Linked DNA regions of Anolis sagrei. The protein of the gene in region 1 interacts with the protein of each later gene in a biochemical or structural test. Links are inferred from orthologs where the notes say so. Each region holds a gene or a part of one and is shown in the gene's direction. Other genes may lie near its edges.

Region 1 (10,071 bases):
GGATTCAGGCTTCCGTGATGGCTGACTGAAGTCCCCCAGCGAAGGAGCTGCAAGGCTGTATAACTCCAGTCAGGCTGTAGGCTGTATATCTCCCCGGCCAAGCCGTAGAAGACGAAGCTTTCTACAGGAGCTCTTGGTATTATGTCCTGCATGGAAAGCTGCTCTGTGTGGACTGAACTCAAAAAGGCTCCTATTCCCTCCAAAACTCAAAAAGGGGCGGGACCAGGGAACCTAACGATAATTGACAGGTGGTTTGCCCTATGATTGCAAACGATAACAGGAAGCCACCCTGCTGCAAAATCCCAAGCCTGGGATTGCAAACAAACATTTAATGCAAAGCAAACAGAATTGGAGCTCCTGGTACAACTGTACCAGCACACAACGTATCTCATGAAAACATTTCATTATATTTAGTTATATTTATTTATGGCTTATTTCACATAACTCAAATGTTTGTGTGACACATCTACTCACTGCAACAAATACACGAATGTGTCATGACAAACAGTTCGAAAATCTTTCCTCTGAGTGCTGAATTGGGTTTTTATTATTAAGAACTGATTATAAATATAATTATTTATACATCATTTATTTATTTATTTATTTCATCTCAGGCACAAAGATCCTAAATGACACACAACCTTTTAAAAAAAGACCCAATTTAAAAACTTGCAGAATATAAATGTTCAAATAGATTTAAATATACAGATATATATTTTGCACCCACTCTGGTTGCTTGGTTCAAGATGAATACCAGGCATCCATCAATACACAATAGTTGAGTCCTAGTCTGGAAGGGAAAAAACAGAATACAAAGAAGAGTGATTTGGGATGAATTCTTATGAATACTATGCTTTCAAGTCACTTGTCGGCTTAAAGCGACTCCATGAATTTCAAAGGGTTTTCTGAGACCTAATGATTAAAAACCAGAAGTGTGCCAATGTGTCATCCTCATGTCAAATGCTACACTGAAAATATAGGCAATTCTCCTCTTGTGAGATAAAATTTCAGATTTTAAAGCTGTGAAATAAATCTGGAAAATTAGGAGCTTCCGAAAGGTCCAAATTTGCAGGGAAAAGCTCCTCCAGCTTGCACATTACAGGCAAATGCCATTAATTTGACAAAGGGTCTGCTCTTTGGTCTGTTTCTTGGAAAAGTTCTTTTAAGCTTAATCACATATTCAGAAATGCTATACAGTAGATTATCAGTTAATTAATTTATTTATTTACAACATTTATATGCCACCCTTCTCACCCCGAAGGGAACTTAGGGTGACTTATAAGATATATACATACACACACACACACACACACACACTCACTATATTATTAGCATAGTACAATATCAGTATTAAATATTACTATATTGTACTATACCATATACTATATTGTACTATGGTGACGGCCGACAGGGAGCTCTGGTGTGGGCTGGTCCATGAGGTCACGAAGAGTCGGAGACGACTGAACGAATGAACAACAACAACTATACCATTATATTGTAGTATTATTAGTAATATGACATGTAATATAAATATATAATTGGAGCCCCTGGTGGCGCAGAGCCCCTGGTGGCTTCAGTCCCTGTGCCGGCAAGACTGAAGACCGACAGGTCGCAGGTTTGAATCCGGGGAGAGCACGGATGAGCTCCCTCTATCAGCTCCAGCTCCTCATGCGGGGACATGGGAGAAGCCTCCTTCTAGGATGGTAAAATAATCAAAACATTCGGGCATCCTCTTAGCAACGTTCTTGCAGACGGCCAATTCTCTCACACCAGAAGCGACTTGCAGTTTCTCAAGTCGCTCCTGACCCGACAAATATATATATATATATATACACACACACACACAAAGAAAATTATAATATATTATTAGTATTAGTTTTATAATGCATTACATTATATTATAAATATTATATGTATATAAAATATATTATATTATAAGAATAGTTAACCTGAACTCAAGCAAGGAATCAAAGAAATACTAATAATAATGTGTTGCCAAAGGCTTTCATGGCTGGAATCACTGGTTGCTGTGAGTTTTTCGAGCAGTATGGTTATAGAATCACGGGATTTGTAGTTTTGTGAGGCACCAGCACTCTTTGAGAGACAAGGCTAAACACCTTGTAAAACCACTCCAATACAATAGCATTGATTGAGCCATGAGTTAGTTGTCAAACCTTCCACGCATGCGCACTACGCACTTGGCCTCCTAGTCCTTTTGTCTGGTGACGCATTCTTTCCCCTGCTCACCATTTCACACCTCCCTCGAGGCCCCGCCCACAACTTCTGCATAGCCCCGCTCACAGACACACCTCTAATCCTCCGCCCCCTCTCCGCGGGTTCCTTCTGCACATGCGCAGAACATTTCTGCCTCTCTGTGGCGCTCACGCCTCCTTTTGTCCCGTGACGCACAATCCTTCAGTCCTCCCTAGCCCCGCCCACCACTGTATATCTTCGCGGCTTCCTCTTGCACATGCGCAACACAAGCACACTCGCTGTCTATAGCGTTCACGCCTTAGTCCTTTCTCAGCGTGCTCGCTTCTCCCCTTCGAAGCCACGCCTCCAATTAATTCATAGCCCCGCCCACTACACAGCTTTTTTTTTGTCCTGTCAGGAGCGACTTGAGAAACTGCAAGTCGCTTCTGGTGTGAGAGAATTGGCAGTCTGCAAGTCTGATTTGATGTTTTATCATCCTTGTGGGAGGCTTCTCTCATGTCCCCGCATGAGGAGCTGGAGCTGATAGAGGGAGAAGCTCATTTCGCCTCTCCCTGGATTCGAACCTGCGACCTGTCGGTCTTCATTTCTGTCGGCACAGGGGTTTAACCCACTGCGCCACTGGGGGCTACACAGCTTACTGGACCTTTTGCGCGGCTACCTCCTGCACATGCGCACTGCAAGCATACTCTCCGTCTATAGCGCTCACGCCTCCTTTTGCAGCTTGACGCGCCTCTCCATGTCTAGGCCACGCCTCCTCCTCTCTAGCCCCGCCCACCACACGCCTCTCCAGACCGTCTCCGCGGCTTCTTCCTACGCATGCGCACCGCAAGCACACCCGTCACATAGCGCTCACGCCTCCTTTTACAGCTTGAGGAACCTCTCCATTTCTAGGCCACGCCCACTCCTCCTCCCTAGCCCCGCCCACCAAGCGCAGCGCCGACTTTTTCCTGCGCATGCGCACCGCATGTAGCCCTCATGCCTTAGTGTCCTTTTGCTTCTCCCCATAGGAGGCCACGCCCCCTATTCCTCTTGTAGCCCCGCCCATCTCACACACCTCCTCCCTGCCTGGGCGCGCGCCGCGGCTTCCTGCTGGGCATGCGCAGACCTTGCTCGCTGTTGCGCGCCCGCGCTTGGCCCCTCCCCCGCTCCGTCCCTTTCTCTCCGTCGCGCGCGTGCCGGCTCCCGTAACGGCTCAGTCTGAGGAGGGAAGGGCAGAGAGAAGCAGCGGGCGCGGAGCCTCCCTTCGACGGCGCCAAGATGAGCATCGAAATTCCGCCGGGGTTGACGGAGCTGCTGCAGGGCTACACGGTGGAGGTGCTGAGGCACCGGCCGCCGGACCTGCTGGGCTTCGCCGCGGACTACTTCTGCCGCCTGAGGGACAGCCGAGACCAGCAGCTGAGGGAAGCGGCGGCGGCAGCGGCCTCCGCCCGGGGCAAAGGCGTCCTCTTCGACGGGGAGCCCATGCAGACAGAGTCCAACGGCGAGGAAGAGCGCAGGGAAGCCGAAGACTCGGACTCGGACTTTGAGCGTGAGTCAGGGAAGAGGAGGAGGAGGAGGAGGGCGGCCTAGGGCGCTCAGAATAGAAAATAGCCCCGCTTGCTTGCTTCCTTGCTTGCTTGCCTCCCTCCCCTCCTCGCGGCTATTTCATGGCGCACTCTTTATTATTATTATTATTGGTGTTATCCTCATCATCATTCTCATTATTGCGTCTTGCCTCAGGCGGGCGAGGGAGGGAGGGAGGGAGGCGGGAGAGAGGCAGCCTTTCTCAAGTCCCTTGTTGGACCAAACGGGTCGCCTCGGAAATGTGCCTCTGGAAAGCCACGAGAACTCGGTTGCCTTCTCTAGACCGGTGGCTTTCAAAGAAAAAAGGCCTGCACGTTTGTGGGCTTGGGGGAGACTTCTTCAGAGCTCCACGGTGGAAGAAAGGTGATGTTTGTATGTGTGTGTAGAGAGAGGGAAGTGTGTATCTCTCTAAAACTATATGTATAGGGAGAGGTGTATGTGTCTCTGTATATATATATATAGAGAGGGGGGGGGAGTGTACTTATATAAAGAGAGGTGTATGCATATATATATATATAGAGAGAGACAGAGGTGTATGCGTATATATATATAGAGAGAGAGAGAGGTGTATGGATGTATTTATATAGAGAGAGAGGTGTATGCGTATATATAGAGAGAGATAGAAGTGTATGAATGTATCAATATAGAAAGAGGTGTATGTGTATATATAGAGAGAGAGGTATATGGTTGTATTCATATATAGAGAGAGGTGTATGCATGTATATATTTATAGAGAGAGGTGTATGGATGTATTAATATGTAGAGAGCTGTATGTGTATATATATATAGAGAGAGAGAGAGAGAGGTGTATGGATCTATTAATATGTAGAGAGATGTATGTGTGTATATATATATATATAGAGAGAGAGAGAGAGGTGTAAGTGTATATATATAGAGAGAGAGAGGGAGAGAGAGGGAGGTGCATGAATGTGTATATATATAGAGAGAGAGGTGTATGAATGTATTTATGTAAAGAGGTATGTATGGAGATGTGTGTGTATATATACACACACACACGCACATATATATAGAGAGAGGTGTGTGTTTATATATCTGTGTGTGTATATGTATATATATATATATATATATATATATATTTATAGAGAGAGAGAGAGAGAGGTGTCTATATAGAGAGACCTATAGAGGTGTATAGCACCAGATCATATATTTTGACAAATAGATTTACGTGAAGCTTAAAAAGTGGGTCGGTGAGGATGTGTCAATTTATATATAGAGAGAATAGTGTGTGTGATTATATAGAGAAAGAAGAAGCTGTATATGTATATATAGAGGTGTCTGTTTATACATATATATATATAGAGAGAGAGAGAGAGAGAGAGAGAAGAGGTATGTGTAAGAATATATATCAATCGAGAGAGGTGATTATAAAGGAAATAGTATGTATAGATAGAAAGTGCGAGGGAGGTATGTGTATGACTATAAAATAGAGGGGTGTGTACATGTGTAATATATATATATATATATATATGGGTGTATACACACACATATACATATGGGGAGAGAGAAGGTATGTGTACGAATGTATATAAATAGAGATGTGTATATGTGTATATATAGAGGTTTGTATATATGTTTAGAGAGGGCTGTGTGTGTATATGTGTGTGTGTGTATACATATATGGTGGAAAGAGGGTGTATATGCACATTATATGTGCTGACTAAGTAATGTTGAGGAATGACTGCAAGATCTCTAGACGGTTGTGTGAGTGGTTTCTTTGCGCAGGGAATAGGAGGTGTGACCTTGTCTGTATGATGAGAAAAAGCGCAGTGAATATGGATGCTTTGTGTGTGCGTGTGTGTCCCCTTTATTTCTCCAGCCAGCTAACAAGCTTTATTTTTTTGACTCACCATTCTGTCCAAGGAAATAATGCCTTCCCTGTTCCATAGTCCTTTCATTATGTGTCCTATGTGGATTTTATTTCCACACCCACGTGCATGCTCTTTCTCTGTCTGTCACTTATTTTTTGTGGAGTGGGGAATCTTAACCTCAGTGCTGCAGTAATGTACATAACAATCCCTATGTGTGGTATGGGTCCTGCATGTTGTATAGTTGTCCTAATCCCTGTTGGATGGGTGTGTATATAATAGATTTCTCTCATATGTAGTAGAGAAGACTCTCATTCCCCCAGGGTTTGCACTAATGTGGTTAGAATCTTTTTAGGGAGATTGGGGAGGTTGGAGAGGAACGCACAAGTAGCAGTTTCTTTGTAGAAAGGTTGAATAGTTAGGGAATCTCTTCACTTCCCCGGGTCGGAATCTATCTATCTATCTATCTATCTATCTATCTATCTTGTAAGCTGCTCTGAGTCCCCTTCGGGGTGAGAAGGGCGGCATATAAATGCCGTAAATAAATAAATAAATAAATTTTACTCTGGCTTGTAATAATGGAACTTCTTGCAAATTGTACTTCTGAGCATTTAGGAAAATGTATAACAGTGTGTTGGGTAGATTTTAAAGAAAGAGAACAATTGTGTTAATTTTTCCCATCTCTCTTGTCCTGTTAGAATATTCTGAAGGGGGGAGGGTTATGTATTTAAATCTCACTTTCCAAAGAGAAAGCATACAATTATCACTTAGATTGTCATCACCTCTCTGTATCCACAGATTCCATCACCCGTTGCCTAAAATATTAAAGTATATATTTCTGTATCAATCTATATAAAGGATCTTGAGCGTGTGTGGATTTTCCTATCTACAGGAGTGTGCTGGAATCTAATCCCAGCAGGTACCAATGGGATTATGTCTACAGTTCAACTGTAGACATAGAACTTAAAAATCGACTGAAAGCTCAGAGAATTTACTTTCTAGTTCTGTACTAGATAGGATGGAAGAGCCAATTTCAGGACAAAGTTTGGATTAGGCTTCAGGATATTCCCATGACCTCGTTATGTCAAAATTTAAAGCATACTTTTGATGATTATTCTTAAGAGTAAAGAAGGATATACAGTAGTTGGCAGCCAGGATTGTGGACCAGGAATTCTTGGAGAATACTGTTCACTTCCCATGTCTGTTGACAAACCTTGGATATGTTTGATTCATGGTATTCTTCATTTCAAATTATAATAAGACAAAAGAAAGTAATTTTTAGATAAATTGTTGACTGGTGATGGTTGAACTGATGAGGTTGTGTATGGCTTTGGTTCTTGATTTGGAAGTATAGAAGTATGAGTGAAGAGTTATGACTTTGTATAGTGGGGAGAAATGGAAATACTATTTAATTTATACCTACCCTTTCTCCAAACAGAATTGAAGGTAGCTTAAAGGAGAGAACAAGGTAGAGAAATTACTTGAAACTACCAGAATAAGAAAAATGGAATTCTGTGTTGTTGAACTATTGACTACAAGTAGTAGGATATAATCAGTTTTCAAACTGAAGAAATGAAATGATACAGGGTTTATTCCCTGGTGTGATTGGTACAGTGCTGCATGTTTAAAATGCACATTAATTAAACTCAGAGGAAAAACATCACGATCTTACAGAATTATAATGAGTATTGAATGAACTATCCTTTACATTTTTCATTAGGGGACGTTTTTCCTTTAAGAGATTCAGTAGAATCTGTACAAGATGAGAGGATTTGGCAGGAATTGTGCTTTGTGTTGTTATGTAGTACAGGTTGTGCTTTTATTCCCCATACACTTTCTGTAATCTTTTAATAAAAAGATACTGATAGAATTTGACAGATAAACATGACAGTAATATTCCCTAGGACTGACAAAAGTAGCCACTAATTTTCACTTCTGGTGAATGGAAATGTAATAAGCGGATACCTATTTGGCAAAGTAAAATGCAGAGGCTAGACATATTTCCAAACTGGCTTCCAGATTTGTGTACAGACAACATGACTGTGATGCAACTACTACGTATGTATGTCTGTGTACCTTCAAGTTGCTTGTAAACCCATGATGATCCTATAAATTTCATAGGGTTTTCTTAAGCAAGGAGCACTTTGAGGTAGCTTTGGGAGTTAATGCCTCTGAAATGGACTCTAAAATACTAGGGTTGAATGACCAGGGCTGAATGACCCTACTTAGCTTCCATTATCAGATGGCACCTATGTAACTGGTTTTCAATAGCATTTAATTGCCTTTCTCCAGTGTTTTAGAAAAAGTAAATGGAAATCCACAAAAACCATGCTAAAAATGTCATGTTGTCATAGAATCATAGGGTTGGAAGAGGCCACAAGAATCACCTAGCCTCTACTTAAAAACCTCAGAAGGGGGAGACTCCATCATACTCTGAGGCAGAATACTCCACAGTTGAACATCAGGAAGTTGTTCCTAATGTTTAAGTAGATTTTTTTCTTGCAGTTTGAATCCATTGCTCCATATCATATTCATCAGAGCAGCATAAGACAAGTTTTCCCCCTCTTCAATGTGACATCCTTTCAAATATTTAAACATGACAACCTACTTTTCTCCAATCAAAACATATCCAGTCATTCCCCATAGGACTTGCATTTCCAAACCTTTGATCATTTTATTTGTCCTTCTGTGGACACATTTTAGCTTGTCAATATCTTTGAATTGTAGTCCCTAGAACTGGACACAGTTTTCCTTCTCCTTTGTTTTCATCATGAGAGTATGGAGTGTTGTACCCTTATGTTATTGCTTGCATTTTGCAAGATGTTGGTTGACAAAGCACTTCTCCATCTCATCCCTGTGTTGTGGAGCTAGCTTAGCTCCTTCCACAACTTCTGTTCCTGTAAACTGCCAGGATGGAGTGAAATGTAGATTGAGTGGCTGTGGTTGGAAGATTTGTCCTTTTTTCACTTTGTACACATATGATTGCATCCCGTCCACCATGGCAATATCATGGTGGATGGGATGCAATCATATGTGTACAAAGTTTAAAAAGGAGAAATCTTCCAACCCCAGCCACTCAATCTACAAAATTCGCAGAAGATACAGCTGTGGTGGGGCTTATCTCTGAAGGGGATGAGTCTGCCTATCAGGATGAGGTGGATCAGCTGCTCTTGTGGTGCAGGGACAATAATCTGGTTATTAACATCAGTGAGACCAAGAAGCTCATAGTGAATTATAGGAAGGACAGACCAGAAATTCAGCCCTTGGTCATAAATGGAGACCAAGTGGAGCATGTGGCCAGTTTTAAATTCCTAGGTGTCACTGTAAAGGAGAATCTGAACTGGGGCACCCATACAGCAGTGTTGGTTAAGAGGGCCCTGCAGAGACCGGTACTACCTGGGACTCCTAAGGAACCACCAACTGAATGAAAAACTGCTGGTAACTTTCTATCGTTGTGCTGTAGAGAGTGTCCTAACCAGCGGATGGTTTGGTAGCTTCACAGTGGCAGATAGGAAGGCACTCCAAAGGGTCACCTCTTCAGCATAGTGAATCATTGGTTGCCTTCTTCCCTCTTTGGAAGAACTTTATAATTCCCGCTCCTATAAGAAAACTCAGAGCATTCTTGAGTATCCATTTCACCCAGCATATTCCTTTTTTGAATTATTGCTGCTTTGCAGACAGTACGGGGTCAAGGACAAACTGAAGGATAGCTTTTATCCTAGAGCTGTGGCTAAGTTGAAGTCTGTGGTTTCATACTGATATTTGCTGCCAGTTTGCTACCGAGCACAATTCAAAATGCTGGCCTTGGCCTATAAAGCTCTAAATGGCTCCTGTCCAATGTACCTGTTTGAACGTGTGTTTCCCTATGAACCTGTTAGAGTGTTAATATCCAAGGGATAGGCCCTGCTCTCGTTCCCACTTCCATCACAAGTGTGACTGATGGGGATGAGAGACAGGATCTCTGTGGTGGCCCCTCATTTATGGAACTCCCTCCCCAGTGATATCAGTCTGCCCCCCTCCTTCCTGATGTTTAGAAAAAAAGTGAAGAGCTGGCCTTGTAATCAGGTATTTGGGTAGTGCAATACAAAACCAGCACAATGTAGCATGGAAATAATGACCTTAGGACTGGGTTTTATGTTTTAATAGTTTTATGATATTTATATATTTTAATTATCTGTTGCTTTGATGCATTGTATTTTATGATGTGGAATATGCAGCATTAAACTTAGCAGTTTTGTATGTCACTCTTGAGTCCCCTGTGAGGGTGAGAAGAGCAGGATATAAATAAATAAATAAATGTGGCATTGGGGGCTATATGGTGGGGGTAGGGATGTAGAGGGATGGGTGTGTTGCTTTGTGGTGTGTACAGAGGAAGGCATGTAATTTTGTTGTGCAATACCATAATGACAAATTAACCTATTCTGTTACATTTTTCTCTGTGGGTAAGAGGCCTTGTAGTAGGCCTCTT
Region 2 (10,071 bases), on another chromosome or scaffold:
CTACATTACACTGAATGTGGGGTGCTTATTTAAAGGCTTCTGGATTTTGTTTGAGCCAAATGTCTGAGAAAGTTTGCAGGAGAGTTAAAGCAATAGAAATAAAATAAGGAAACATATGCACATACTCAGAAAATGCCATTGGAGTTCACTTAAAATGATATTCAATACAAATTTACACATTTGCCGAGATAAAACAGCTAATGATGTAAGAAAAACACAAGGCAGTTAGTGATTTTTGCAGTTTTGCATGGAAGCATATGCCTCAACTTCACAATTCACCATACTCATATGTTAACTAACAGTATTCTGGATGACAGTAATTTCTGAAAACTGTGATGATAACAAGTATCAGTTACGAATGATGATTGTAGTGAATGTTTGGTTGAGGCTTGCTCTAAATGTTATTGGTACTTCACTGATCAGTCTTTCTCTGTTATTCTACATGATGTCCAATAGTGCTTATTTTATTATTCTTGTTTCAAGCAGTCTTTCCAGTATTTCTTGTTGGCCATGGGAGTTCTGTGTGCCAAGTTTGGTTCAGTTCCATCATTGGTGGAGTTCAGAATGCTCTTTGATTGTAGGTAAATCCCAGCAACAATATTCTCAAATGACAAAATCAACCCCCCCCCCCCCAACCCCATCAATATTCAAATTTGGGCTTATCGGGTAATAAGCATCATCATCTTCATCTTTATTTGTACGCTGCCACCATCTCCCCAAAGGGACTCAGGGTGGCTCACAGAAACACTCCAAATGCCACATGCAGACAACAATACATAAGTATAAATACAATGGCATAAGTATTATCAACAGTGCCTAAAATCTCATTAATAAAATTTTAGGAAATTGAAAATTATAAATTATAAATTTGGTCCAGTGAATGAAAATACATCCTGCATATCAGATATTTACATTATGATTCATAATGGTTATGAATCAGTTATATTATAGTTATATAGTTATAGTTATATTACAGTTATATAGTGGCAATGAAAATAATGGTTGGGGGACACCACAACATGGGGAACTGTATTAAGGGGTTTCAGCAATAGGAAGGCTGAGAAACACAGATTTAGAGCTTCTTCTGATTCTTAAAATAATCTTCTGCATGTTGAAAATGTACTAAAAGATGCTCATAACAACATCAAAAATGCTTACATAAATGAAATAGTGTTAAAAACTATTTGCCTAACGGTTATAGTGCACAACACCAGACGTATGTCCTATGTGAATAGTTAGTCAAAAGGAGCTACATTGGTCCCCAGAGCAGCCAACACACCAGTACTTCATTGGGGGGGGGGGGGCATTTGATGCAAAATTAAGCACTTTCCAATAAGACTCCATCTAATGGTCTCTAGGTAATTTCAATATCAGAAGGAACATGAACTAGAGCTAGTCAGGGTTCTGTTCTTTCAGGCAAAAATTGACTACAAAGAAAAGTCGAGAATTCAATATTGCAGGATTCTCCACTAAATTGTTCTTGATTAGCTTTTAGTCCAGAATCAAACTAATTTAACCAATCATTTCTGAACTTTGGCAGTATTCAAATCTGTTTTAAATACTACAGCTCTGTTTCTTTAAAAAGAAAAGAGGATCACTCTTCTGAGTTAATTACAATGATGCAGAGAACACTGTATCACTTCTGAATTGAACAGCAATATTTACACTCCACCAGAAGATTATAGTATGTGTTTTAACCTCAACATATTTATATGAGCCACTTGACTATGCAACAATATAGCAACATTTTGTTCAAGCTGGTTAATCATTCTTTTTACCCCCCAGAATCATATGTGTAACAGTTGATACTATGAAGCAGAAAAATGTCATCTCAGGAGCAAACAGGTTTTTCATATATATCTGTTCATAGTTTACCAAGTCTTGACCTGTTCAATGCTGATTGCTAAAGTAAATATATGAATCATTTATGAATCAGTTAAAAATGACCTATAAACCAATTACATGGTTTATAGAAACACAATTCCATTCAATATGGCCAACACTTTGATTTCATTACAGTACACCAGAGTAATCATTGCGAATAATTAGGTGAAAGGGTTTTTGAAAAAATGTGAATAAGCAACTTGTCTTCCAAAACCTTTTGGATCCTACAAATATATTTTCTAGCTCTGAAGCCTAAAGCAATATCGAGAAACAAGAAGGAACGTTGACTGGGCATACACTTCAACTGCATTGCCTACAGAGGATGAGCAAACAGGTAAAGTGTGACAGGACATCCCTTGAGTAGCTGTAGGAAGTAGCAGTCACAACCTACTAATTCTTTCCTACCTGGAAGCATGTTGTTTCACTTGTAAGTGTTGTAAATATGCTCCGTTGTTTTAATTGTTACTGTGGCTTTGTAGAATAATCAGTGATTTTATCAACTTCCTGGTGTTTTAGCTACAATATTGTGATATGGCCTAATGCAGAAGATGGTTCATTAAGGTTGCACCATGAATTATTGCACTGGGTTCCTTTAGTAGAAGCATGGGCAAACTCCCCCCCCCCCCCGGTGTTTTGGACTTCAACTCCCAGCATTCCTAACAGTCTCAGGCCCTTTCTTTTTCCAAGTTTGTGCATGCTTGCTTTAGTACAGCATTTCTCAACCTGGGGGTCAGGACCCCTGGGGGGGGGGGGTTGAAAGGGGGATGTCAGAGGGGTCACCAAAGACCACCAAAAAAAACCCAGTGTATTTTCTGTTGGTCATGTTGGTCATGGGGGTTCTTGTGTGGGAAGTTTGGCCCAATTCTATTGTTGGTGGGGTTCTGAATGCTCTTTGATTGTATGTGAACGATAAATTCCAGCAACTATAACTCCCAAATGTCAAGGTCTATTTTCCACAAACTCCACTGGTGTTCACATTTGGACATATTGAGTATTTGTGCCAAGTTTGGTCCAGATCCATCATCCAGCAACTAAAACTTCCAAATGACAAAATTAAGCGTCTGAGGGGGGGAAAGGAAGGGGCACTTAGGCTGTTAGGAATGGTGGGAGTTGAAGTCCAAAACACCTGAAGGGCCGACGTTTGCCCATGCTTGCTTTAGTGCCTCTTTCCTGTGCCACCTGGGATGCCACCTGTAGAATGAATGCCGCCTGACACCGCTGGCTCCATGCTATGGGATCCTGGGAGTTGTAGTTTGGTGAGGCACCATCCCTTTCTGGCAGAGAAGGCAGACCAATATATTTGCAGGACTACAGCCCGGAGACAGGGCAATTCAAGCGCTAGGAGGGAAGAGGAGAGTCAGGGTGGCTCTTGTCCGCCTCCCCTTCCCTGCTGAAGCGGCCTTGGGCCCAAGGCCCGTCTGGACGCCGCCTTCCGCTCTGCTCCGCATCCGGGCCGGGGCGGGCCTGCTCCCTCCTGCCTGGCTTCCTCCGCCCCTTTCGGGAGTTTTATAACTTGCGGGGTTTCTTCCGCGTCCTGTGACTCCAAGTCAGGTGGTTGCTTCCTCGCCTCTTGCCTTGCCTTCCCCGGTTTGGGTAGGCGAAGCGGACAAAGAAAGTGGACCGAAGTCAGGCAGAGAGAGAGAGAGAGAGAGAGAGAGAGAGAGAGTGGAGCGGGCGGCTGGGTCTCCCTCCTTTGCTCGCCTTCTTCCCAAGTGTCAGGTTCTTGAGAAGTTTGGGAGAGTGAGAAATGGCTGGAGGAGAAAGAGGAGCCGGAGGAGGAGGAGGAGGAGGGGGAGGTGGGAGTAACGGCAGTAGTAGCAGCAGCAGCAGCGTTTCGGGGGCCTCGGAAAGCCGGGAGCATCTCTTCAAGGTGCTGGTGATCGGGGAGCTGGGCGTGGGCAAGACCAGCATCATCAAGCGCTACGTCCACCAGCTCTTCTCGCAGCACTACCGGGCCACCATCGGCGTGGACTTCGCCCTCAAGGTCCTGCCCTGGGACAGCCGGACCCTGGTCAGGCTCCAGCTCTGGGACATCGCCGGTGAGGAGCGGGACCCTTGGCCGGGGGAGGAGGAAGGAGGAAGAGGCGGAGGAAGGGAGCCAGCCCCCAGCAGGGCTCCTCGTCCGGCCCCGGGGTGGATAGATAGAGGGCTCTTCTCCTTGTCTTCCTGGTGGGAAGGGAGAGGAAGGAGGCAGGGCATGCCCATGGTGTGGGTTTGCAGCAAGACCCAAACGCTAAGGAAGTGCCCTGTGGTGTTTGTGTTGCTGCCTGTTCCCTTGTTCAGAAGACTTCACCTCATTTTCTGTCCCTGTGATAATTGGATTTGGAAAAGTGTGGCTTGTTAAGGAAACAAGGATTGGCGAGAAAGCTTCAGTGGAGAGCCCTTTTCCCTATGGTTACTCTTCCAGAAAAGAATTTCCCTTCAAAGGGGCAGATTTCTCTCACTTCTTGTGGTCTCACCCCTGTTCTTAACTCTGAGCCATTTGTAAGTCAGATGTTTGTAACCCAGGGACTGCCTGTACAGGTGAAGCATCCTCTGCACAGTCTTCTGTAAACATTGCTCAACAGGTTTGTGTCAATGTCTAAAACAGCTACCAGGTGACCTTCAAAAACTTTTAAATGATTCCAACATTGAGCTAAAGCAGAGCTTTCCAACCTTTCTTTTTGAGCAGGGACCACCTTGACCAGGGACCACTTTGACCAGGGACCTCTCTCCAACATTAGAATCCTAGAATCCTTGAGTTGGAAGAGACCTCATGGGCCATCCAGTCCAACCCCCTGCCAAGAAGCAGGGAAATTGCATTCAAAGTACCCCCAACCGATTAGTACCAAAAGGGTTATAAATCAGTTTTTGGTCAAGTTAAGATTCGGTTTGAGGTGCTGCTTCAGAAAATTGCATTGGATAGACCACATCAGCTCTAGTTTCTGATACAGAGCATATGGTATGGTCAGCAACAGGGAAGCAGTGGCAGGCAGCGCAAAAGGAGTGGAAATACAATAACTAAAATAAAATTAATAAAGAGGGAGGAGGCTCACAGACCAGATATTTATTCTCATGGCCCACTGGTGATCCGCTGCCCACAGATTAAGAACCAGGGATCCCACTTGCCTATCAAAACCTATAGGTCAGTGGTTTTCATCCTGTGGATCCCCAGATGTTTTGGCTTTCAACTTACCAGTTAGCTGGTAAACTGGCTGGGATTTCTGGGAGTTGTAGGCCAAAAAACCTGGGGACCCACAGGTTTAGAGCCACTGCTAGCCTATCAAAACCTATGCCAGCTTTCCCCAACCACCACCTCTTCTCCCTTGATGATATTTCTCGTGACCCCAGGTATATAGGCATAAAAACCAAATAAGAAACCAGCATTTGCAAGGCTTGCTGAACAAGCTGCTTTTCCTTTTTGTAGAGTACACAAAACATGGATTTTTAAGTAGGCTTTTGGCCTTGAGTAAGCTGAAATGGGCCCATATGAGGTTGACACTTTGGCACTTTAGTTGTGATTTGAAGGCAGCTAGTTTTAACTACAGATGGTCTACATTTTAAACTGTGTTTTTCTTTTTTTATGGGTTAATAGTCATTGTTTGTATAACTTTTATGTGAGATTGTTTTTATACTCTTGTACTGTTGATGTTATATACTACACTTGTAGTACCTTGGGAGATGGTGGCGGGATATAAATAAAGTTTATTATTTATTATTATTACAGCTGAAGCATTTTCTGTTGTGTAAGTGGTTGGTGTTCAGAAACCTTTTGCTGTTGCCACACTTCTCGTGCCCCCATTTTTGAGCCAAATGGGATCCCGTTTGTGACTGGGACCCAGAGTGTAAGAAGCCCTTTTCTATTTCAGCTGGTCTCAAAGGTGCTGCAACATCCTTTTGCAGTGGGAAAAATGGAAATTTCCTTTGAGCAAATAATACAATTTGTGGAAATGACAGTCATGTCCTGTGTTAAATCTTTAGCAATGTATTTGTGCAACGCTCCTTCGCTATGGGGGTGCTCTGAAGCCTAGCTTTTGTGGCATAGGCATTTGTACAATGTTTGTGTGGTTTGTGTTTTCAAGTCAGCTGCCAACTTACAGTGACCCCATGAATTTCATAGAGTTTTCTTAGGCAACGAATACTCAGAGGTAGTTTTGACAGTTTCTTCCCCTACAGTTTCTGGTATTCTTTGTGTCTCCCATCCAAGTACTACCAGAGTGGACCCTACTTAGCTTCCAAAATCATTTGGGATCTCCTGTGTTTAGAGCAGAGTTTCTCAAACTGTGCTCCTCTGGGATTTTTAGACTTTAGCTGCCACAATTCCTAACAGCTGGTAAACCTTCTCTAGTCCAGTGGTTCTCAACCTGTGTGTCCCCAGGTGTTTTGGCCTACAACTCCCTAAAATCCCAGCCAGTTTACCAGCTGTTAGGAATCCTGGGAGTTGAAGGCCAAAACATCTGAGGACCCACAGGTTGAGAACCACTGTTCTAGAGTACTGTGTTTGCATGTACCAGACTGCAGAATGGGTTTTCACACATGATGTATCCCTTTCTATACAGAAGTGACGTTGAGCTAGGGAAAATACAAACATAGAGGCCCTAAGATCCAATGAGCCATGGCATAAATGTGGAAGTTTGGCAAAAGCATTAGATTTGCAAAGCCTTCATTAACTTACACAATGTGCTGGATATTGCTAATTGTACGACTGCATGTATGTGTGTTTTATTGTGTATGTTTTAATCTGGTTTTGATTTGGGGGGGGGGGGGATTTTTTAATCTTGTTTTAAGCTTTGTGTCTTGCTGGTTTTGAGCAATGCCTTTTTTAGTTATTGGAAACGTCTTTGAATCCTGATCTGGGAGAAAGGCAGGATAGAAATAGAGCAATGACAACACATTTCTATTAAAAATTGAACTTTTGTCTTTGAAAAGTTCTTGCTTTCCCAAACAGCTGCATGAAGAGTCTAGTTTCAAAAAGTTAAACTCTTCCTTGTATTTTTGTGAATGCATTTTAGGTCTTGAGTGCACATGTACAGCTGTTAAGGAAAGAAAACATTTTCTGTTGTACCAGAAATTAAACAGGAGGGAATGCTAGTTGATAGATTCTAAGGTTTTGACAAAGGACCGCATCACACAAGAGAATGAATCCAGTTTAAATCTGGTTTCTGCCTCCTGCAGAATTCTGGGGTTTGTAGTTTAGTGAGGCTGTTAAAGGCTTCTCCCTAAACTACAAACCCAAGAATTCTGCAGGAGGCAGAAACCGGATTTAAAGTGGATTCATTCTCTAGTGTGATGAGGGCCATAGAAAGGAACTTTTCCATGTTCTGTATTACACTTTTCCAGATGTTCTGAATGACAATTGAATAGTAGAAAATTCCTTTGTATCTATGTTGTTCCCAAACTCTAAGGATTTTGGAAAACTATTTAAAATAGTGTATTTTTAAAATGTAAGTGATCTTGTACATTCTGCAGTACTCACTAACTTTAATAACAATGGGAGCTTTCTTTAACAGTCTCCCTTTAACTTCTGGCAACTGTTAAGTTGCACAGAGCTTTTAATGTGGCAATTCTTCAGTTGCATCACCACCCTGCAGTGAGCATCCCGTGTAAGTTATGGTTTTTCCTGGAAGAAGTGTCTTCCTTTCATTTAAATGCCTTCTTTGGTTCCTCTTTTCCCTAGTTTGGAGAATGGTCGGCTTCCATTTTGACCTGCTGTTAGGATTATAAACCATTTTATACAGCAGTAAAAGGCAAGAAAGGGTTTTTTTTTTGTCTTCTTTTGCCAAGTTGACAATCTTCCAGTATGGGATCAGCATTCTCTTCTGAACACAGTTATTTTGAGGAACAGCCATTATTTCTTGTAATGAGAGCAAGAGGATTAGGGGCAAAAATGCACATTTAATTCATTCACACTAAGAGTACTGTAGAAGCATTGCTTTCCTCCCTGTAAGTTGGCTGTACAGATACAACATCAAAATCACTTTGGAGCGGAAGAGCTTGGTCAGTGGCCATCCTTGCTGGGAGTTCTGGCCATTGTAGTCCAAAATGTAACTCTTCCAAGCTCTGTTTGTAACATGTTTGAACAAGAGAGCTTCATATACAAAAATGCATCATACTTTAACCTGGGTACAAATGAGCAAGTTGCTCAACAAAACATTTAACATATTACCTGTAAAAGAGAACAGTGATAACTGAGTTGGTAAGCCTGTCCTCCATAATATGAGCATCTATGGGTAGGTTTTGTCATTTAACCATGAAATACTAATTTAGGTTGCCACAACTGTCACCATGTTGCCAATAGAAAATGTTGTATCATCCCCCAGCCCGAGCCCAGAACTGTGTTTCTATTTCAGACTACCGGCTGTCTGTTTGATGGTTGCTTTATATTGTGTTATGTCATTGTTGTTTTATTTTGCTTGTTGACGTTTTTATGAATTTTAATGTGTTATTTTAACTATGTTGATTGGGCTTGTCCCCATGTAAGCTGGCACAAGTCCTTTGGGGAGATGGAGGCAGGATACAAAAGTAGTAGTAGTAGTTGTTGTTGTTGCTGTTGCTGTTGTTGCTGTTATTATTATTATTATTATAGCATTAACATGGTATAGCACAGGCAGGGGCAAACTTTGGCCCTCTAGGTGTTTTGGACTTCAACTCCCACAATTCCTAACAGCTGGTAGGCTTTTAGGAATTGTGGGAGATGAAGTCCAATAACACCTGGAGGGCTGAAGTTTGCTCATGCCTGGTATAGCACTTGTGATTCTGCTACATGTATTTATACAATTCATCTTTAAAACACACACAAAGTGCCACATTTAATTCCTGTGTTACTGCCTAATGCAGAGATGGGATTCCTGAGGTCCTCCAGATAATGTTGGGTGGAAGCTCATTCTTTTACCATTGATTGTGCTGGCTAGGATTTTTGGGGAGTTCAACAGCATCTGGATTGCAACATGCCGGTGATTTGATCAGGGAGGAAGTTTACAAACACAACTCTTCAACAGGGAGTTAGAGTGACAACACACACACACATACACACACATGGCTGGAAGTGAGTGCACCCTCCAAGATGCTGAAGATGGGACAGCCTATATATACCTCTGTCGATGTACTGTTGTCTGTATTGTCAGTGCATAACATCATTGAATGTTTGCCGTATATGTGTTCTGTGATCCACTCGGGGTGAGAAGGGCAGAATATACATACTGTAAATAAATAAGCAAATAATAATATAGGTTTTCACAGTAAACCTGCTTTTTGTGCCCATTCCGCTCCTTCTTCCTAGCTAGTTGAAATAATTTAACAAAATTAGTATGGGGGAAAATGTGCAAGAGAACTGGAGAAAACCAGATTGTCAGTATGGGGTTGCAGCAATGGGTTTATAGTAAACAATGAGGTAAACAAGGTTGAACTGGAAAACAGTAGGGTTCTACTCTACCCTATGGTGCTGGAGTCCTGCACCTGTCCCTGCAATATGCAAGGTGCAACAGAAACTGCTTCCAGATTCCTAACTGAACACGCACAAACAGCAAAAGAGAATCAAAGGGAGAGCAGGCACGGTTCCCAGGAAGTTTTATTAAACCAGACATTAAAATCATTTGAAAAGTGGAGTTTGGTGAAAGAAAAAGTCACTGGATGCATTTTGGAAGAAACCTCCAAGTGCTCTTTTGAAGGTTCAAACTGTTTCTTTTCTTTCTTTTCTTTTCTTATTTTGCTTATGCAAGGCTTCCCTGACCTGGTTGATTCATTTCCCAAGTAGTGTTATTTTCAATCAAAAGTTTGTGGAAACATGTTGAACTTCTGTTTTGGATGGCGCAGGAACTTTTGTGTGGTTTTTACTTGTGGCACCAACGTTTCTGTCACAGAAGCAATGCTTAGGAGCACATCTACTTCATTAACTGAGGTCTACCCGTGCTATAGATGTCTGTGTCCTGTTTTGTCAAGAAAATTTAAATCCATACAGTGTAATAGAATAAACACTGCATGACAGAGTTGTAGACAATGTAAGAAATGTTGAAATGCTTTAGGAGAAGTTCATCCAAAGTTTTAAAGTCACATAAAAAGAAACAGTAATACGTTTGCCTGCTCATGAAAATAATTGTAATTCCTCTATTCACATCCACCAATTTGTCCTTCCTGTGTGCCATACAAAAGCCCATTGTATACTGGCATTACCTGTAAGTTCATCTAGGTTACTTGTGGGTTTATGAACTC
Region 3 (10,071 bases), on another chromosome or scaffold:
TCTGCCGCGGATTGTGGTGGAGGCTCCTTCTTTGGAAGCTTTTAAACAGAGGCTGGATAGCCATCTGTCAGGGGTGATTTGAATGCAGTTTTCCTGCTTCTTGGCAGAATGGGATTGGACTGGATGGCCCACGAGGTCTCTTCCAACTCTAGGATTCTATGAACTCGAAGTTCTGGGAGTTAAAGTCCAAAACACCTGGAGGGCCCAAGTTTGCCCATATCTGGCCTAGACCCAGGGGTGGCTCAACCCAATACGCAAAGTAAACATTTGCAGTATAGTTGATTTTGCTCAGGCGCACTCTTGGGGGGAAATAGACCTTGACATATGTGAGTTGTAGTTACTAGGATGTATAGTTTACTTACAATCAAAGATCATTCTGAACTCCACCAATGATGGAATTGAACCAAATATGGCACACACAACTCCCACAACAGACAGAAAATATATATCAATGATTGGTTTGGGGGGGGGGGGTGCCAAAATACTGTTTGCTTACCATTGAAATGGTAAGCCCCCGGTGGTGCAGTGGGTTAAAGTACTGAGCTGCTGAGCTTGTTGATCAAAAGGTTGCAGGTTCGATTCCGGGAGCGGCGTGAGCTTCTGCTGTCAGCCCTAGCTTCTGCCAACCTAGCAGTTTGAAAACATGCAAATGTGAGTAGATCAATAGGTACCGCTCCGGCGGGAAGGTAACGGTGCTCCATGCAGTCATGCTGGCCACATGACCTTGGAGATTATTTATTTATTTATCGTGTCATCCGCAACCAGAACATTGTATTACATTTCTAGCAGAACAAAACAAACAAACAGATTAAAAAAAACAAATTTTGCAAACTTGGTAGCTGATTAAATGTCCCTTGACCAGTATCTGGCCACTTGGAGTGCTTCTGGAGTTGCCGCAAGAAGGTCCTCCATGGTGCATGTGGCAGGGCTCAGGTTGCATTGCAGCAGGAGGTCAGTGGTTTGCTCTTCTCCGCACTCGCATGTCGTGGATTCCACTTTGTAGCCCCATTTCTTAAGATTGGCTCTGCATCTCGTGGTGCCAGAGCGCAGTCTGTTCAGTGCCTTCCAAGTCGCCCAGTCTTCTGTGTGCCCAAGTGGGAGTCTCTCATCTGGTATCACCCACGGATTGAGGTGCTGGGTTTGGGCCTGCCACTTTTGCTGAGGTGTTCCAGCGAGAGTCTCTGTAGATCTAAGAAAAGTATTTCTTGATTTGAGTCGTTGACATGCTGGCTGATACCAAACAAGGGATGAGCTGGAGATGTCACTGCCTTGGTCCTTTCACTATTGGCTGCTACTTCCCGGCGGATGTCTGGTGGTGCAATACCGGCTAAGCAGTGTAATTTCTCCAGTGGTGTAGGGCGCAGACACCCCGTGATAATGTGGCATGTCTCATTAAGAGCCACATCCATTGTTTTAGTGTGGTGAGACGTTTTCCACACTGGGCATGCGTACTCAGCAGCAGAGTAGCATAGCGCAAGGGCAGATGTCTTCACTGTGTCTGGTTGTGATCCCCAGGTTGTGCCAGTCAGCTTTCGTGTGATATTGTTTCTAGCACCCACTTTTTGCTTGATGTTCAGGCAGTGCTTCTTGTAGGTAAGAGCACGGTCCAGAGTGACTCCCAGGTATTTGGGTGCGCTGCAATGCTCCAGTGGGATTCCTTCCCAGGTCATCCTCAGAGCTCGGGATGCTTGTCCGTTCTTAAGGTGAAAGGCGCATGTCTGTGTTTTAGATGGATTAGGGATCAGCTGGTTTTCCCTGTAATGGGCAGTGCGGCTGGCGGGTACGAGAGACAGGGCCTTTTCTGTGGTGGCCCCACGGCTATGGAACGCCCTGCCCTTGGAGGTAAGATCAGCCCCTTCATTGATGATATTCCGAAGAAGATTGAAGACCTGGGTGTTTAAGCAGGCATTTGGTTAACCCAATGCAACGAATGGTAACTGACTAAAGGACTGGCAACATGGATGACGAACTGGATCACGTTTTTAGTTAAGAGTCGAACTGGATTGGTATTGATGTATGAATTGTGTTTTTATGTTTTTTATGTTTTTTATGCTTTTAACTGTATACTGTTGATTGTTATATTATGTTGTAAACTGCGTTGAGTCGCCGGCTAGGCTGAGAAACGGCGGTATATAAATATAGCAAATAAATAAATAAATAAATAAATAAGAGCACCTAGAGCTTCGGAGAGCTTCTGTTCTGCCATCTCAAAGCTCCCTGCTTGAGCAGTAATGGCACGATCATCAGCATAGATGAAACTCTCTGTCCCTTCTGGCAGTGGCTGGTCATTTGTGTAGATGTTGAACATGGATGGAGCAAGCACGCTCCCCTGAGGCAGGCCGTTCTTCTGTTTCCGCCATCTGCTTCTCTGGCCCTGGAACTCAACAAAAAAGCTCCTGTTTTGTAGCAGGTTTCCTATGAGGCGGGTGAGGTGGTCGTCCTTTGTGATATTGTACATTTTTCTCAAGAGGAGGCGGTGGTTCACAGTCTCATAGGCTGCGGACAGGTCTATGAATATAGCTCCTGTGATCTGCTGACTTTCAAAGCCATCTTCTATGTGCTGAGTCAGGTTCAACACTTGCGATGTGCAGCTTTTGCCTTTCCTGGAGCCAGCTTGCTGTGGGATCAGACATGGGAATCAGACACCTTGGAGGTGTCTACGGACAACGCTGGCTCTTCGGCTTAGAAATGGAGATGAGCACCACACCCCAGAGTCAGACATGACTGGACTTCATGTCAGGGGACTACCTTTATCTTTTTTAGCCAGATTTTGTTCATTTAATGGTTTCACCCTTTCTGACAAGAGTCCTTTGCCCCACCCTGGTCATTCCACAGATATATAAACCCATTTTCCTAGTTCCAACAGACCTCACTACCTCTGAGGATGCTTGCCATAGATGCAGGCGAAACGTCAGGAGAAAATGCCTCTAGAACATGGCCATACAGGCCGAAAAAACCTACAACAACCTATTGTATGGTCCTTTCTCGTCTTACTCCATCAGTTCTGGAAGCCCATGTGTAGAATTAATTCAGTTTGATACCACTTTTGACTGCCATGGCTCAACACTGTGGAATTATACTACATCTCCCAGGGTCCCATAGCACTGGGTCATGAGAAAGCGGGTGAAATCGTTGCGCGGTCCCTCCTCGTCATTCCTTTGAGCCTGAGTCGGGTCACGCATGCGCAATGGGCAGCCTTGTCCTGCTCCCAGGGAGGGAAAGGGAAGTCTCGCGCGGGCTGGGAGGGGGTGGGGCGGAGGGGGCGGGGCGAGCGGGGCCTTAAAGGCGCGGTGGGCGGGGCCAAGAGGACGCTGTGTATTTTGGTCGGATGCCTCAGCGTTCTGAAGGGCCCCGGCGGGCGGGAGGCAGGGAAGGAAGGCGGCACGTGGAGCGGAGCGGGGCCCGGGCCCAGGCCGAGCAGAAGCCTCCCAGGACGGTGAGAGGGGCCTGCTTTGGGGCCCTTGCGCGCCCTTCCGGTTCTTCTGCCTTTGCCCCTTGGCGGGGGGGGGGTGTGTGTGTCAGTCTCAGCCCTTTAGTATTGTTGTGATACTACATACAAGGCTTGGATTTCCAACCAAGTTTGCAGGAGGCCCCTCTATTGGTATTCTATTACTATTAATATCATTACTGTGTTGTCTAAGGCTTTCATGGCCGGAATCACTGGGTTGCTGTGAGTTTTCTGGGCAGTATAGCTATGTCCCAGAAGCATTCTCTCCTGACGTTTCGCCCACATCTAGGCCTCCTCAGAGGTTGTGAGGAGGGGAGAAAGGTCTCTTGTCTGCAGACAAGAATGGCCTTGCAGCTTCAAAGCCTGGCTGCTTCCTGCCTGGGGAAGAACCCCAGGTTGGGAGGTGTTAGCTGGCCCTGATTGTTTCCTGTCTGGAATTCCCCTCAGAGATTGTGAGGAGGGGAGAAAGGTCTCTTATCTGCTGAAGGTTGCAGCAGACAAGAATGGCCTTGCAGTTTCAAAGCCTGGCTGCTTCCTGCCTGGGGAGGAATCCCAGGTTGGGAGGTGTTAGCTGGCCCTGATTGTTACCTGTCTGGAATTCCCCTCAGAGGTTGTCAGGTCTGTTGGAAACTAGGTAAGTGGGGTTTATATACTCGTATATATACTAGTTGTCACCTGCCACACACTGCTGTGGCCCAGTCTGTTCCAGAAGCATTCTCTCCTGATGTTTCGCCCACATCTTTGGCAGGCCTCTTCAGAGGTTGTGAGGAGGGGAGAAAGGTCTCTTTGCTGAAGGTTGCAACAGACAAGAATGGCCTTGCAGCTTCAAAGCCTGGCTGCTTCCTGCCTGGGGAGGAATCCCAGGTTGGGAGGTGTTAGCTGGCCCTGATTGTTTCCTGTCTGGAATTCCCCTCAGAGATTGTGAGGAGGGGAGAAAGGTCTCTTGTCTGCTGAAGGTTGCAACAGGCAAGAATGGCCTTGCAGCTTCAAAGCCTGGCTGCTTCCTGCCTGGGGAGGCATCCCAGGTTGGGAGGTGTTAGCTGGCCCTGATTGTTTCCTGTCTGGAATTCCCCTCAGAGATTGTGAGGAGGGGAGAAAGGTCTCTTATCTGCTGAAGGTTGCAGCAGACAAGAATGGCCTTGCAGTTTCAAAGCCTGGCTGCTTCCTGCCTGGGGAGGAATCCCAGGTTGGGAGGTGTTAGCTGGCCCTGATTGTTACCTGTCTGGAATTCCCCTCAGAGGTTGTCAGGTCTGTTGGAAACTAGGTAAGTGGGGTTTATATACTCGTATATATACTAGTTGTCACCTGCCACACACTGCTGTGGCCCAGTCTGTTCCAGAAGCATTCTCTCCTGATGTTTCGCCCACATCTTTGGCAGGCCTCTTCAGAGGTTGTGAGGAGGGGAGAAAGGTCTCTTTGCTGAAGGTTGCAACAGACAAGAATGGCCTTGCAGCTTCAAAGCCTGGCTGCTTCCTGCCTGGGGAGGAATCCCAGGTTGGGAGGTGTTAGCTGGCCCTGATTGTTTCCTGTCTGGAATTCCCCTCAGAGATTGTGAGGAGGGGAGAAAGGTCTCTTGTCTGCTGAAGGTTGCAACAGGCAAGAATGGCCTTGCAGCTTCAAAGCCTGGCTGCTTCCTGCCTGGGGAGGAATCCCAGGTTGGGAGGTGTTAGCTGGCCCTGATTGTTTCCTGTCTGGAATTCCCCTCAGAGATTGTGAGGAGGGGAGAAAGGTCTCTTGTCTGCTGAAGGTTGCAACAGGCAAGAATGGCCTTGCAGCTTCAAAGCCTGGCTGCTTCCTGCCTGGGGAGGCATCCCAGGTTTTTAGGTGTTAGCTGGCCCTGATTGTTCCCTGTCTGGAATTCCCCTCAGAGGTTGTTGTCAGGTCTGTTGGAAACTAGGTAAGTGGGGTTTATGTACTTGTATATATACTAGTCGTCACCTGCCACACACTGCTGTGACTCAGTCTGTTCCAGAAGCATTCTCTCCTGACGTTTCGCCCACATCTTTGGCAGGCCTCTTCAGAGGTTGTGAGGAGGGGAGAAAGGTCTCTTGTCTGCTGAAGGTTGCAGCAGACAAGAATGGCCTTGCAGCTTCAAAGCCTGGCTGCTTCCTGCCTGGGGAGGAATCCCAGGTTGGGAGGTGTTAGCTGGTCCTGATTGTTTCCTGTCTGGAATTCCCCTCAGAGGTTGTCAGGTCTGTTGGAAACTAGGTAAGTGGGCTTATATGCTCGTATATATACTAGTCGTCACCTGCCACACACTGCTGTGGCTGAGGCTGTTCCAGAATTCTCTTCCAGAAGCATTCTCTCCTGATGTTTCCCTCACATGTATGACAGGCATCCTCAGAGGTTGAGGGGTCTGTTGGAAACTAGGCAAGTGGGGTTTATATATCTATGGATTCATATAATGCATATTGTATATACATATAATATTTATAATATTATAACCATAGAGTCATAGAATCCTAGAGTTGGAAGAGACCTCATGGGCCATCCAGTCCAACCCCATTCTGCCAAGAAGCAGGAATATTGCATTCAAATCACCCCTGACAGGTGGCCATCCAGCCTCTGTTTAAAAGCTTCCAAAGAAGGAGCCTCCATGACACTCCGGGGCAGAGAGTTCCACTGCTGAACGGCTCTCACATAATGTAATGCAATATAATACTAGTAATAATAATACAATATTATAATTGTAATATTGTTGTCATTGTTTTTAGAGTTTTATTGTTTTTGCTTGATGTTTTATTATTTGCCTCTTTTTAAGCAGAGGGCCAGGTCACAGTCCCTCAAACTGTTGGAGGGCCAGATTATAATTTGGAGAAAAAAATGAATGAATTCCTATGCACACTGCACATCTCTTATTTGAAGTGCAAAAAACACTTTGAAACAATCCAATAATTAAAATGAAGAACAATTTTAACAAATATATACTTATTAGTATTTCAATGGGAAGTGTAGACATGCTTTTGGCTGATGAAATAGGGTGGTTGTTGTTGTTGTTGTGGTTGTGTGCTTTCAAGTAGTTTCAGACTTAGGTTGACCCTGAGCGAAGGCTGGGTAAATGACCTTGGAAGGCTGTATCCGGCCCCCGGGCCTTAGTTTGCGGACCCTAACTTTACAGAATTTATATGCCGCCCTTCTCACCCTGAAGGGGACTCAGAACGGCTTACAAGATATATATATATATATATACATACAATATATTATATTATTAGCATAGCACAATATCAGTATTGTTTATTACTGTATTGTACTATACCATGATATTGTAATATTATTACTAATATTACATATAATATAAAATATATAATTATAATATTGCATTATTATTTATATTATTAGTCTTAAATTGCATTATATTATAATATTATAAGTAGGATATGTAAACAATATATTATATTATATTATATTATATTATTAGCTTAGCACAGTGGAATGATGTCCAGAGTGGGAAAAAGAACTTTTGTCTGTTGGAGGCAAATGTTGCAATTGGCCATCTTGATCAGCATTGAATGGCCCTTGCAGCTTCAAAGCCTGGCTGCTTCCTGGATAGTAAATAAAGAGCAACACTAAAAAAGGGGGGGAAATTCTGACAGGAAACAACCAGGGCCAGCTAACACCTCCTAGCAAAGGATTCCACCAGACAGGAAGCCGCCAGGCTTTGAAGGTGCAAGGCTATTCAGTGCTAACCAAGGTGGCCAATTGGAACATTCCCACTTGCCTCCAACAGACAAGAGTTCTTTCTCCCATCCTGGACTCCCCCAGGCAGGAAGCAGCCAGGCTTTGAAGCTGCAAGGCTATTTAATTCTAACCAAGGTGACCAATTGGAACATCCCCACTTGCCTCCAACAGACAAGAGTTCTTTCTCCCACCCTGGACTCCCCCAAGCAGGAAGCAGCCAGGCTTTGAAGCTGCAAGGGTATTCAATGCTAACCAAGGTGGCCAATTGGAACATTCCCACTTGCCTTCAACAGACAAGAGTTCTTTCTCCCACCCTGGACTCCCTGCAAGGCTATTCAGTGCTAACCAAGGTGGCCAATTGGAACATCCCCACTTGCCTCCAACAGGCAAGAGTTCTCTCTCCCACCCTGGACTCCCCAGGCAGGAAGCAGCCAGGCTTTGAAGCTGCAAGGCAATTAAATGCTCACCAAGGTGGCAAATTGGAACATTCACACTTGCCTCCAACAGACAAAGAGTTCTTTCTCCCACCCTGGACTCCCCAGGCAGGAAGCCATCAGACTTTGAAGGCTATTCAGTGGTAACCAAGGTGGCCAATATTAACATTTCCACTTGCCTCCAACAGACAAGAGTTCTTTCTCCCACCCTGGACTCCCCCAGGCAGGAAGCAGCCAGGTTTTGAAGCTGCAAGGCTATTCAATGCTAACCAAGGTGGCCAATTGGAACATTCCCACTTGCTTCCAACAGACAAAGAGTTCTTTCTCCTACTCTGGACTCCCCAGGCAGGAAGCAGCCAGGCTTTGAAGCTGAACGGCTATTCAATGCTAATCAAGGTGTCCCGTTGCAATAGTCACACTTGCCTCAAGCAGACAAGAGTTCTTTCTCTCCTCAGATACATAATCCCCACTTGCCTAGTTTCCAACAGACCTCACAACCTCTGAAGATGCCTGCCACAGATGTAGGCGAAATGTCAGGAGAGAATGCTTCTGGAGCCTGGAAAACTCACAGCAACCCAGTGATTCAGGGCATGAAAGTCTTCGACAACACCTTTTCCAAAGTGCCTTCCTTGGAGCGTTGTGTGGCTTTAAGGACCCCTCCCCCTCAAAAAATGCTCAGATTTTCCTCCTTTTCACAACTTTTCAGCTTGAACGACTATACTTTGCATTGTGCCCAGAAATGTATGAAGAGACCCGGTTGAGAAGAAGTGTCTTCTGTGCCTTGGAGGGAGCCTTGAGTCACCCTTCCCTCGGCTTCACCTTTCACCCAGCGGCATTGTCATTAACATGCCCTTGGCCGGCCTGCCTTCCCCTCGCTCTCACTCTCGGCAGGTTTACTATGACTCCATTCCCTCCGAGTAGAGACTGAGTATCGCAATCCAAAATAGTTTGAACCAGAATAGCGTTACTTGCATTTGTTTTCCCGTATAGTGCATAAGATGTGTGTGTGTGTGTATATATATATATATGTGTGTAACAACTAGCTGTCCTCTGCCATGAGTTGCTGTGGCCCAGTCTGTGTATATGTGTTTTGTGTTTGTATATATTTGTATATATGAGTTTGCGTATATATATATATGTGGTTTTGCGCATGCGTTGTAATGTATTTTTTGTGGGTTTTTTGGTGTTCTTATGAGTGATCGTCACTCGTTGGTCTGATTGGTGTATTTTGTCCAAATTTGGTGTCAATCCGTCCAGTGGTTTTTGCGTTGAGTTAATCCCACAAACGAACATTATATTTTTATTTATATAGATTTATTTACGACATTTTTATGACGCCCTTCTCACCCCAAAGGGGACTCAGAGCGGCTTATAAGATATATATACATACAATATATTAAATTGTTAGCACAGTACAATATCAGTATTATATAGTACTATATTGTTTCTGCCAACCTAGCAGTTCGAAAACATGCAAATGTGAGTAGATCAATAGGTACCGCTCCAGCGGGAAGGTAATGGCGCTCCATGCAGTCATGTCGGCCACATGACCTTGGAGGTGTCTATGGACAACGCTGGCTCTTCGGCTTAGAAATGGAGATGAGCACCACACCCCAGAGTCAGACATGACTGGACTTAATGTCAGGGGACTACCTTTACCTACCTTTACCTATATTGTACTACACCATTATATTGTAATACTAGCCGTCCCCTTCCATGCCGTTCTGTGGCCCACATGGGGGTTCTGTGTGGGAGGTTTGGCCCAATTCTATCATTGGTGGGGTTCAGAATGCTCTTTGATTGTAGGTGAACTATAAATCCCAGTAACTACAACTCCCAAATGTCAAGATTCTATTTCCCCCAAATTCCACCAGTGTTCACATTTGGGCATATTGAGTATTCGTGTAGAGTTTGGTCCAGATCCATCATTGTTTGAGTCCTCAGTGCTCCCTGGATGTAGGTGAACTACAACTCCAAAAACAAAGGACACTGCCCACCAAACCCTTCCAGTATTTTCTATTGATGATGGGAGAACTGTGTGTCAAGTTTGGTTCAATTCAATTGTTGAATTGAACCATCAAAGAATGCGCTTTGATTGTAGGTGAACTATAAATCCCAGCAAATGCAATTCCCAAATGTCAAGGTCTATTTTCCCCAAACTCCACCAGTGTTCATATTTGGGCATATTGAATATTTGTGCCAAGTTTGGTCCATATCCATCACCGTGTGCACCGTGCTCTCTGGATGTAGGTGAACTACAACTCCAAAACTCAAGGTCAATGCTCACCAAATCCTTCCAGTACTTTCTGTTAGTCGTGGAAGTTCTGTGTGGGAGGTTTGGCCCAATTCTATCGTTGGTGGGGTTCAGAACGCTCTTTGATTGCAGGTGAACTATAAATCCCAGCAACTACAACTCCCAAATGACAAAATCATATTTTTTGAGTGAAGGACATACATTGGGTTGTTAGGTGCATTGTGTCCAAATTTAATGTCAATTCGTCCAGTGGTTTT

Evidence for each region.
Region 2: the proteins of PRKAR2A (region 1) and RAB32 interact in a test that uses a peptide from one of them, tested with the Homo sapiens proteins (2 studies listed by BioGRID, with this or other methods). The link is inferred for Anolis sagrei from reciprocal best matches to the Homo sapiens genes PRKAR2A and RAB32.
Region 3: the proteins of PRKAR2A (region 1) and AKAP1 form a complex in vitro, tested with the Homo sapiens proteins (2 studies listed by BioGRID, with this or other methods). The link is inferred for Anolis sagrei from reciprocal best matches to the Homo sapiens genes PRKAR2A and AKAP1.

Annotation. Positions count from the first base shown.
Region 1 is NC_090022.1:28,674,179-28,684,249, forward strand, and holds the start of PRKAR2A (cAMP-dependent protein kinase type II-alpha regulatory subunit), read left to right. Parts: upstream 1-3,334; 5' UTR 3,335-3,471; coding exon 3,472-3,742; intron 3,743-10,071. UniProt on the Homo sapiens protein: Regulatory subunit of the cAMP-dependent protein kinases involved in cAMP signaling in cells. Type II regulatory chains mediate membrane association by binding to anchoring proteins, including the MAP2 kinase.
Region 2 is NC_090021.1:74,906,926-74,916,996, reverse strand, and holds the start of RAB32 (ras-related protein Rab-32), read left to right. Parts: upstream 1-3,306; 5' UTR 3,307-3,631; coding exon 3,632-3,923; intron 3,924-10,071. UniProt on the Homo sapiens protein: The small GTPases Rab are key regulators of intracellular membrane trafficking, from the formation of transport vesicles to their fusion with membranes.
Region 3 is NC_090031.1:20,964,794-20,974,864, reverse strand, and holds the start of AKAP1 (A-kinase anchor protein 1, mitochondrial), read left to right. Parts: upstream 1-3,285; 5' UTR 3,286-3,436; intron 3,437-10,071.